2 linked regions of the Tribolium castaneum genome follow. The main gene of each other region encodes a partner of the protein of the gene in region 2 in a complex. Links are inferred from orthologs where the notes say so. Each region holds a gene or a part of one and is shown on either strand. Other genes may lie near its edges.

What was found.
Region 1: the proteins of B-cell receptor-associated protein 31 (region 2) and Fis1 are in contact, whole or in part, in a crystal structure (PDB 8XWX), measured with the Homo sapiens proteins. The link is inferred for Tribolium castaneum from reciprocal best matches to the Homo sapiens genes BCAP31 and FIS1. Residues at the interface, in NP_001132913.1 of Homo sapiens: Asp224, Leu227, Glu228, Ala231, Lys232, Ala235; in NP_057152.2 of Homo sapiens: Arg52, Val56, Glu59, Glu60, Pro63, Lys64, Lys89.

What each region holds. Positions count from the first base shown.
Region 1 is NC_087398.1:2,702,483-2,705,557, reverse strand, and holds Fis1 (mitochondrial fission 1 protein), read left to right. Parts: upstream 1-1,430; 5' UTR 1,431-1,559; coding exon 1,560-1,604; intron 1,605-1,696; coding exon 1,697-1,955; intron 1,956-2,004; coding exon 2,005-2,156; 3' UTR 2,157-2,553; downstream 2,554-3,075. UniProt on the Homo sapiens protein: Involved in the fragmentation of the mitochondrial network and its perinuclear clustering. Plays a minor role in the recruitment and association of the fission mediator dynamin-related protein 1 (DNM1L) to the mitochondrial surface and mitochondrial fission.
Region 2 is NC_087394.1:25,805,131-25,809,552, reverse strand, and holds the start of B-cell receptor-associated protein 31, read right to left. Parts: upstream 2,834-4,422; 5' UTR 2,704-2,833; intron 2,639-2,703; 5' UTR 2,549-2,638; coding exon 2,320-2,548; intron 2,274-2,319; coding exon 2,164-2,273; intron 381-2,163; coding exon 216-380; intron 167-215; coding exon 1-166. Other genes in the region: uncharacterized protein LOC661444, read left to right, coding at 2,944-3,210. UniProt on the Homo sapiens protein: Functions as a chaperone protein. Is one of the most abundant endoplasmic reticulum (ER) proteins.

The sequences.
Region 1 (3,075 bases), on a different chromosome or scaffold from region 2:
GGACACTGAACTATGATGATACGAACAGAGTGATGTTTATCATATTTGTAAGAAAAGATGTGATATTTGATGACTGCAAACGTTTAGATGCCAGTTAGGTGTACATAGGGGACTTGGTGGTAGTTATTTTTGTTTCAAGCGTTTTCTGATTGTGTTCAAGTCACTTCTCGATTGGGTTTAGATGTTGCGGTCATAAATACCACTTCCAATAAGAGATTTGATATTTTCAATATACTTGAAAATATTTAAGTCGGTGTACATACATGTAACATGCAATATTTCTATATATTTTGTATATATTCTAAATTTTAGACTGTAGAAGAGTATTTATTAATTTTTTATTGTGTGATCGACTATACAGATAAGAAATATTGCATTCCAAGAGCTGAGTGATTGTGACCGTTTACGCCAATAGGATTTCTTTCCAACACGTTCCCAAACGTAACATTTCCCGTTTTTTTCTCAAGTGGTCTAGTGCTGAACACAATTGATGAACTAGTCATAGTTAAATTATTATACCTAGAAAGAGTGAATGTTTTTGTAATTTTTGTGTGTAAAAACAAAGTGCATTTTATATTGTAAATAAACATAGTGTTTTGTACATATGACTTTAACCTTAACTATCAATATTTACAATAAATAAACTATTTCAGATCTTTATTTGCGTTTTTTATTTCTTTTAGTCATATCTGGATGTCTTTATATCAATAAAGAGCAACGCAAGAATTTAGTTCAAATTAAGTTCAGTTCTATTGTGCAAGAAAAACTAATTTCTTTCAAACACATTACCCAAGCCATACCTAAGACTATAAAATTCTATAAATAATTTGAAATATGTACTTGTAATCATTAACTTTTGTTTTACGTGCAGCATTAAAAAGTTATAAACCAACGAATGGATGGAAACACTTAATTGTAAATGTCGTAACATAAATGACCTCGCCACATGAAAAAAACATGGTGTGAATCACTTTACATGAGTTTAGCATTTGGCTTAGCCGTGCTATAATAATCCTTCGCAATTAACTGAAGTGTTAATTAAATTAGCTAATTCATCTTAACGTCTGTTTGTGTAAGCACTTGGCACATCTGCAGAATCAATTCTATTGAATTTCGCCTTTTACTGCGAGCAGTTTTGTGTTTTTTTGCAGCCCTAACATTTTTTTAATAAATAATACTCATTTTTTAATTTGTTGATCGATAAAAATAAAGGTTTCAGTGTTTTTCAAATTGGAGAACTGCACCCTATATTTAGTTTAGCATCCGGTTGGAGAGATGACGCTTGAAGGGTTGTTTTCTGTTTATCCAAACCCAGTGAAAGAACTCAACTGTAGGGTTGTTTAATAATTAATAAGCTTGAAATAAAATCTTCAATTCAAAAAGAGTATTGTTGGTTGCGGGTTCGCGTTACAGTTTCCTGTCGTGACAGCTGTGAGTGTTGGGATCGCATTTAGAGGTCACTGAAGTATAAATATTGAAGTTTTCACGTTGTCATCAAATGCGATTTTCATTCGACATTCACTGTTTTTCTTGAGGAAAATCCGTAAGTGAGGGTGAACATGGCAGGAGTTTTGACTGAAACGGTGGAACCCAGCGACCTAAAGGTGAGCGCCTTCGGAACCGCACCAAGTGCGCCATTCGCTCTGTCAACTTATCAATGAGTCATAATTGTTAATAAACACAAGGATAATTGCAGAAATTCGAGAAAATTTACCACGAACAGCTGTACAAAAACGACGTAACGCCTAAAGCTCAGTTCGAATACGCTTGGTGTTTGGTCAGGAGCAAGTATCCTGCCGACATACAGAAAGGGATAATTCTGCTGGAGGACTTGTACAAGACACACGAAGAGGGCCAACGGGACTATCTGTATTATTTAGCAATTGGGACGGCGAGGTTGAAGGAGTACACCAAAGCTCTCAATTATGTTAGGTCATTTTTGTTAATTGAGCCAGGTTTGCACTTTGGAATGTTTATGTAAGGTTTGGAACTTGGCTGTTTTAGGTAATCAGCAAGTCATTAGTTTACAACAAACGATTAAGAAGAAAATGGAAAAAGAGGGCTTGGTGGGAATGGCTATGGCTGGGGGGGTTGTTCTTGCTGTGGGTGCCATAGTTGGCGTGGGAATGGCTATAGCTAGCAAAGTTAAGTCTTAGTGCTTCCCACATATCAAATGTGATAGTGTTACCATTTTTACTTGTACCAAATTGTATTTTTTGTGTTTGTTTCGTGATTACATGAGTCTGTGTTATCACTTGTTTTATTAATTGGCATTTAATTTTTGGTTCAAACTTGGATAAATTAAATGTAACACTCGAAAAGGCACACGCTATTTTTATAAGGACTTTTTCATTTCAAATTATTTGTGTATTTGTGTAATTTAAAACAAGAAGTCAATAGGTGAAGAATGTATATTTTGCTCATTACTTCTTGTGTAGACTGTCACCATTATGCAAGCTGTGAATAGGTTGTCATTGATTTTTTAAGTTTAGTTTAATTTCTTAGTCATAAATCACTGTATATTGCTAAATAAATAATAAAGTTTTATCTAAATATTGTGTTTTTCTAAAGAAAATCTAAAATATGCTGAAATTATCTTCACCACAATACACTTGTATATTTGGTTGCATAGCTGTCAAACCAAGCTTTGCATTGATTTGAAATATCTATACAAACACTTTTTATTACCATTTTGATCTTAAATCTGAATTGACCAAATGTCTATTTTTTTCATTTACAATCCTATGGTATACTTGCGTTTACTTACACCAATTATTTCGAATTCATCGTAACTTTTTACCTTATGGAGAACAGAAAAGGAAAAAACAGCTTCAACAAACTATTTGAGAAAAAAATTGTAACAAAAAATCGACCAATAAATCACCATGTTAAGTATGTAAGTACTCGTATACAGTTTAGAGCTAAAATATCCAAAACTATAATTTTTAAAAATTATTTTTTTCATGAGAAAAGTCGGAAATATGTCTCCTGTAAAATATGGATATTTTTCACTACAGCTATGTCACTAATTTATCTGAGTCAGTAGCCTGGATTTTTTAAATTTTTGAGATTTTT
Region 2 (4,422 bases):
CACCGCCACTGATGGTAATTTTCTTCTGTAATTTGCTGTGTTCTTCAGCAAGACGGTCATACTCTTTGGCCAAATTATCTGATTGTTTCTTCATTGCGTTTTTATCTCTTACTTCAGTTGCGAGCTCTTCTTCCAAATCTTTGATCTTCTTCTTCAATTCGGAAATCTAGTGAAACACATGAGCATGTTTTTTTTGACAAAAATGCGGTCATTACCTCTTTATCGTGGGCTTCGTTGGTGTCATTTTGGGCAATTTCGCCCCTTTGAGCCAATAAACTCTTAGCAGCTGTTGTCGCACTTTGGGCCTGACGCATTGAAGCCTCAGATTGAGCCAACAAGGCGGCTTGGGATGAAATCAGGATCACCAAACGACGAATCACCTAAAAAAATTAAGAAAAAAGGTGTATACCGTATTTTTTCTATAGTTATTGGAACATACAGTCCATTATTAACTTTTAAATGTTAGAGAAAATTAATCTTTTTTTACTCGCCTGTTTTTGAAATTAGATACAGTACAAACTATTTTTTGTTTGTATTTTTGGAAGTAGTTTTTAGCACTAATGTTTTAGTCGATTTTGCTTAATTTTAGAAATAATTTAATTTTTTAAAGAAAACACAAGCTTAAAGTTCGAGGGTTGTGGTTATGCAACGAGCGTATGCGAGTTTTATACCTAGACACCCTAGAACTCTAAGCGTTTTCGTAAATGTTATACAAGATTTTTTTGTTAGAACATTTTAATTTAAAACACGTTGCTATGGGGAGCGTGTCTTAATTTTTTTTTCTTGGTTGCCATGAGCTAAAAAAAATATAGCCCTATAGTTTGAACATTTTTGTTTAAAGTGGTAAAAATCTCTCTTTTCCAGGAATCTTAGATTTTGAGCAATAATACATGTTTTTAAAAAACTTGCGATTATTAAAAAATAATTAAATTTTTCAAAAATCAATTAATAAAAATCGACCAACACAAATTTAGAACAAAATCATCAGTAATAAAACACTCTGTATAATAACTTAGTTCTCATTTAATATTTAAATATTTATTAAAAATTGAATTGTGTTACCTAACTAATGAGCAATAAAAAAATAGCTTTGGCGAAATACTCGATTTTTAAATTATAAGATCACCAGGGACTCGATTTTTGAAATCCTTCGTTAAAATATTCGCAATTTAGCGATGATGACATCCAAAAACACCAATTTTTGACTTTCCTCCTGAGTCGTTCGGTGGTCGTTAGTTATTTGTCAAATAAATTTTGAATAAACCCAAATTAATATTTGAAATACAAGCAAGAACTACAAAAATTTCGTAAGAGCAATTCTTATTAACCAATTCTTATTATCCAAAATACGCTGCGAGAAAATGTTAAAAAATTCATAAACTCTAACAGCACGAAAAAATTAGAAATGAAACTAGAATGGAAAAATTACTTATGTTTTATCAAGTAGTTAAATGGTGTTGGATAACACAAAGCAGGAAAAAATCATTTTAGGCTTAGATAAGAGATATTATGCCACTTGAAAATATGTAATAGTAATAACAATATTTTAATAGATGTATATGTTTTTTTGTAGAGTAACCTCCCTCAAGAAAACCAACATAAATCTTTTTTTTTAACTCAGTCATCTTCCAATAATGTAAAATCTAAATAAACACAAATAAAATGTAAATCCATTTATAAATTAATGTGCAATATTATTTTTTCTTTATAAATATAAACTTGAAAGTTGGAAATTATTAAATAAACAAAATGGGCTGTAATTACTAGACACCAAAACTAATCCAAAAGTAAACACAAAACTAATTTGAGAAGACTACTTTCACAGCTTAGTGACCATACCCCCAACAGTTAATCCCTTTCCCAGAAACCATTAACCCAAACCCTTGACTTTATGGTGAAATTTGTAAACACAAAAGAATTCTACCTGTTTATGAGAAATTATTAGCATTTCCACCTGAAAGTCATAAATACAAACACAAAATTTCACTGCCCCGTAAAAATTTGTCCTTGGCATAATTTAGCTTTATACAAATTTTTAGACAGCGTCTAATCGCTCTGAGTCACGATTACATTCCTGGAAGTTGGACCTTGCCCTGTGGTCTTAGCGCGTTTCTAATTTTATTGTGCAATCATCAGTACTTGAGTTGATTGCATTTTACTCACCAGTGACAAAAACAAGGCAAATCCGGAGATGTAGAAGTTCCTTTGCGCCCTAAACAGCCGCATACTCCCCTGCATTTCGCGGTCCAAATGACTGTGTTGTTCTTCGGATTCTAGAAATGTGAATTCTAGAAACACTCATAAAAAATTAATAATCACCTGTTTGCGAATATTTGCGCATTTCCCTGATGGCGTCAAGCAGGAACAGGACAAGAATCGCCAACAGGATCATAAAATACATCCCCGCCTGTCTCTGCAACCCTTGCAGAAACCTTGACTTGAAAAAGGCGTTCCATCGCTTGGGACTAGCCACTGGCAGCACCAATAGAAGCACGATAGCGATCTCCACGTAGAGAAACCCGGCGATTAGCGTCCACTGCAGACTCATTTCACTGATAATCGAAACTTGAAACGTTTGAGGTTAACTTTTATAGTTTTGACAGTTGGGTGGACTCTTGTCTGATGTGGCTTTCCTCAGCTAAAAACAGACCGTGATTCGTGATTGGTGCAAAAGATAGGTAAATAAACTCAAATCTGACTCACCCACTTATAAATAAACGCGTGAAGAGGTCACGATTACGCAATTTTCGCTTTTATCACGCGAATTCAATTCTATTGCGTTACCGACCGAACGTGCCGGTAAAACAGGGATTTGCGCGAAATTGCGTTTCACAACGCAGTCGGGGGCTTCCCCCTGTTCTGCATTCGCATCACTTTTATCGCCGTATCAGTTGTGGCGTGGCAGTTGTGTGATTTACACGTAGTAAAGATAATTGTTTCAAAATGGGGCGCAAAAAATTCAACAAGCCTCAGACAGGGGCTGACACCTCCAAAAGCTCCTCAAAACCAAGGGATGAGTCCGAAAAAGGAGATTTTGAGTCGAGGAAGAGGAACACAAGAGAATTTTCAAACTCGAACTTTAGACGCTCGGGTGGCAATTTGAGGAAAGAAGATGACCGGAAAAGTGAACCGTTCAAGAGGAGCAGACAGGATTTCGAGGGGGAAAATAGGAGGCATACGTTTAATGCGTCGCACGGCAGGCGCTCAAGTGTAAGTTATTTAAATTTTGGTAAAAAATGTGATGTTAGCCACTTACTATTATATCCTATTTTCTATTGTAGAATGTTTCACCAGGGCATTTGATTTTTTGGGGTGAAAAAAGCACAAAATCGAGAGTTTCTTTCTTTATAAGAAAAAATTCTGTGTTCAACTAAATCCCAGCAACAAATTTTGAGCCAAGAAATTGGCCATTTCACTCCAAAAAATGCAAATATGTTGTTGCAAAATTCTACTATGAACTGAAATGGGATATACGATACACTAGTAGGGCTCCTTCCGAACATTTTGTTCAGTATACACTTTTTTTAATCAAATCTATCCCGTTTTTCAAGGTACCTTTGTTAAAAGTTAAAATTAAAATGATTCAATCCAAAAAAATTCACCTTTTAAAAACGCTTAAAATTCACCTTTTTGCCCTGTTTTTTGTTGGACCACTTCAGCACAAAAATGAATACGTCCAAGCAAATCATGTTTTCAACGGTGTGTTCAAAAAATAATTACATAATAATTAATTATAAGATTGTAGCATAATAAACTTTTCAGTGGCCCCCAGATTGTTCGGGGTCCGAGCTGAAAATAACTTACAAAATGATATCATCTGTAAAAAAACAACTGCGCAAATAAAGAAAAAAGAAGTACACATAAAACATTCCTTCATGAATTCATTTTCATACAAAGTTTGGGTACAAGGTGTTTTCTAATGCTTTTTATTAATTCAGCAAAATTTTGAATATTTTTATACATGAATATTTTTCTGCCGTTCTATCATTTTTAAGTTTGGTAAAATGAAATTATTGCTATGTGACATATCTCAATAAAAAATAAACTTTTTTTCTAAATATTAAACGAAGTATTAGTTGTTTCAAAACTACAATCTGTCTATAAATGATCGTAGTAGGTATTAAAAGTTTGCCGTTTCCTTTAAAAAAAACAAACATTGTTAGTATATGAAAAATTTGGTTTTACTGATTGCCTGAGTACATAAAATTTGGTATTTTCTGAAATTTCATAGAAATAAATTAATTAAATGCGGCAAATTCAAATTCCAGAACCACCTGAGATCCTACACTCTTTTATAAATAGTCCGTATAAAAACGCCAACGTCGCATTTTCTCTTAAAATTAGCTAATATAAATTATTTATGTACTTCAAAATAATAATGTAATTTATACTTTCAATTTTACTATTAGTAACTATTTTATA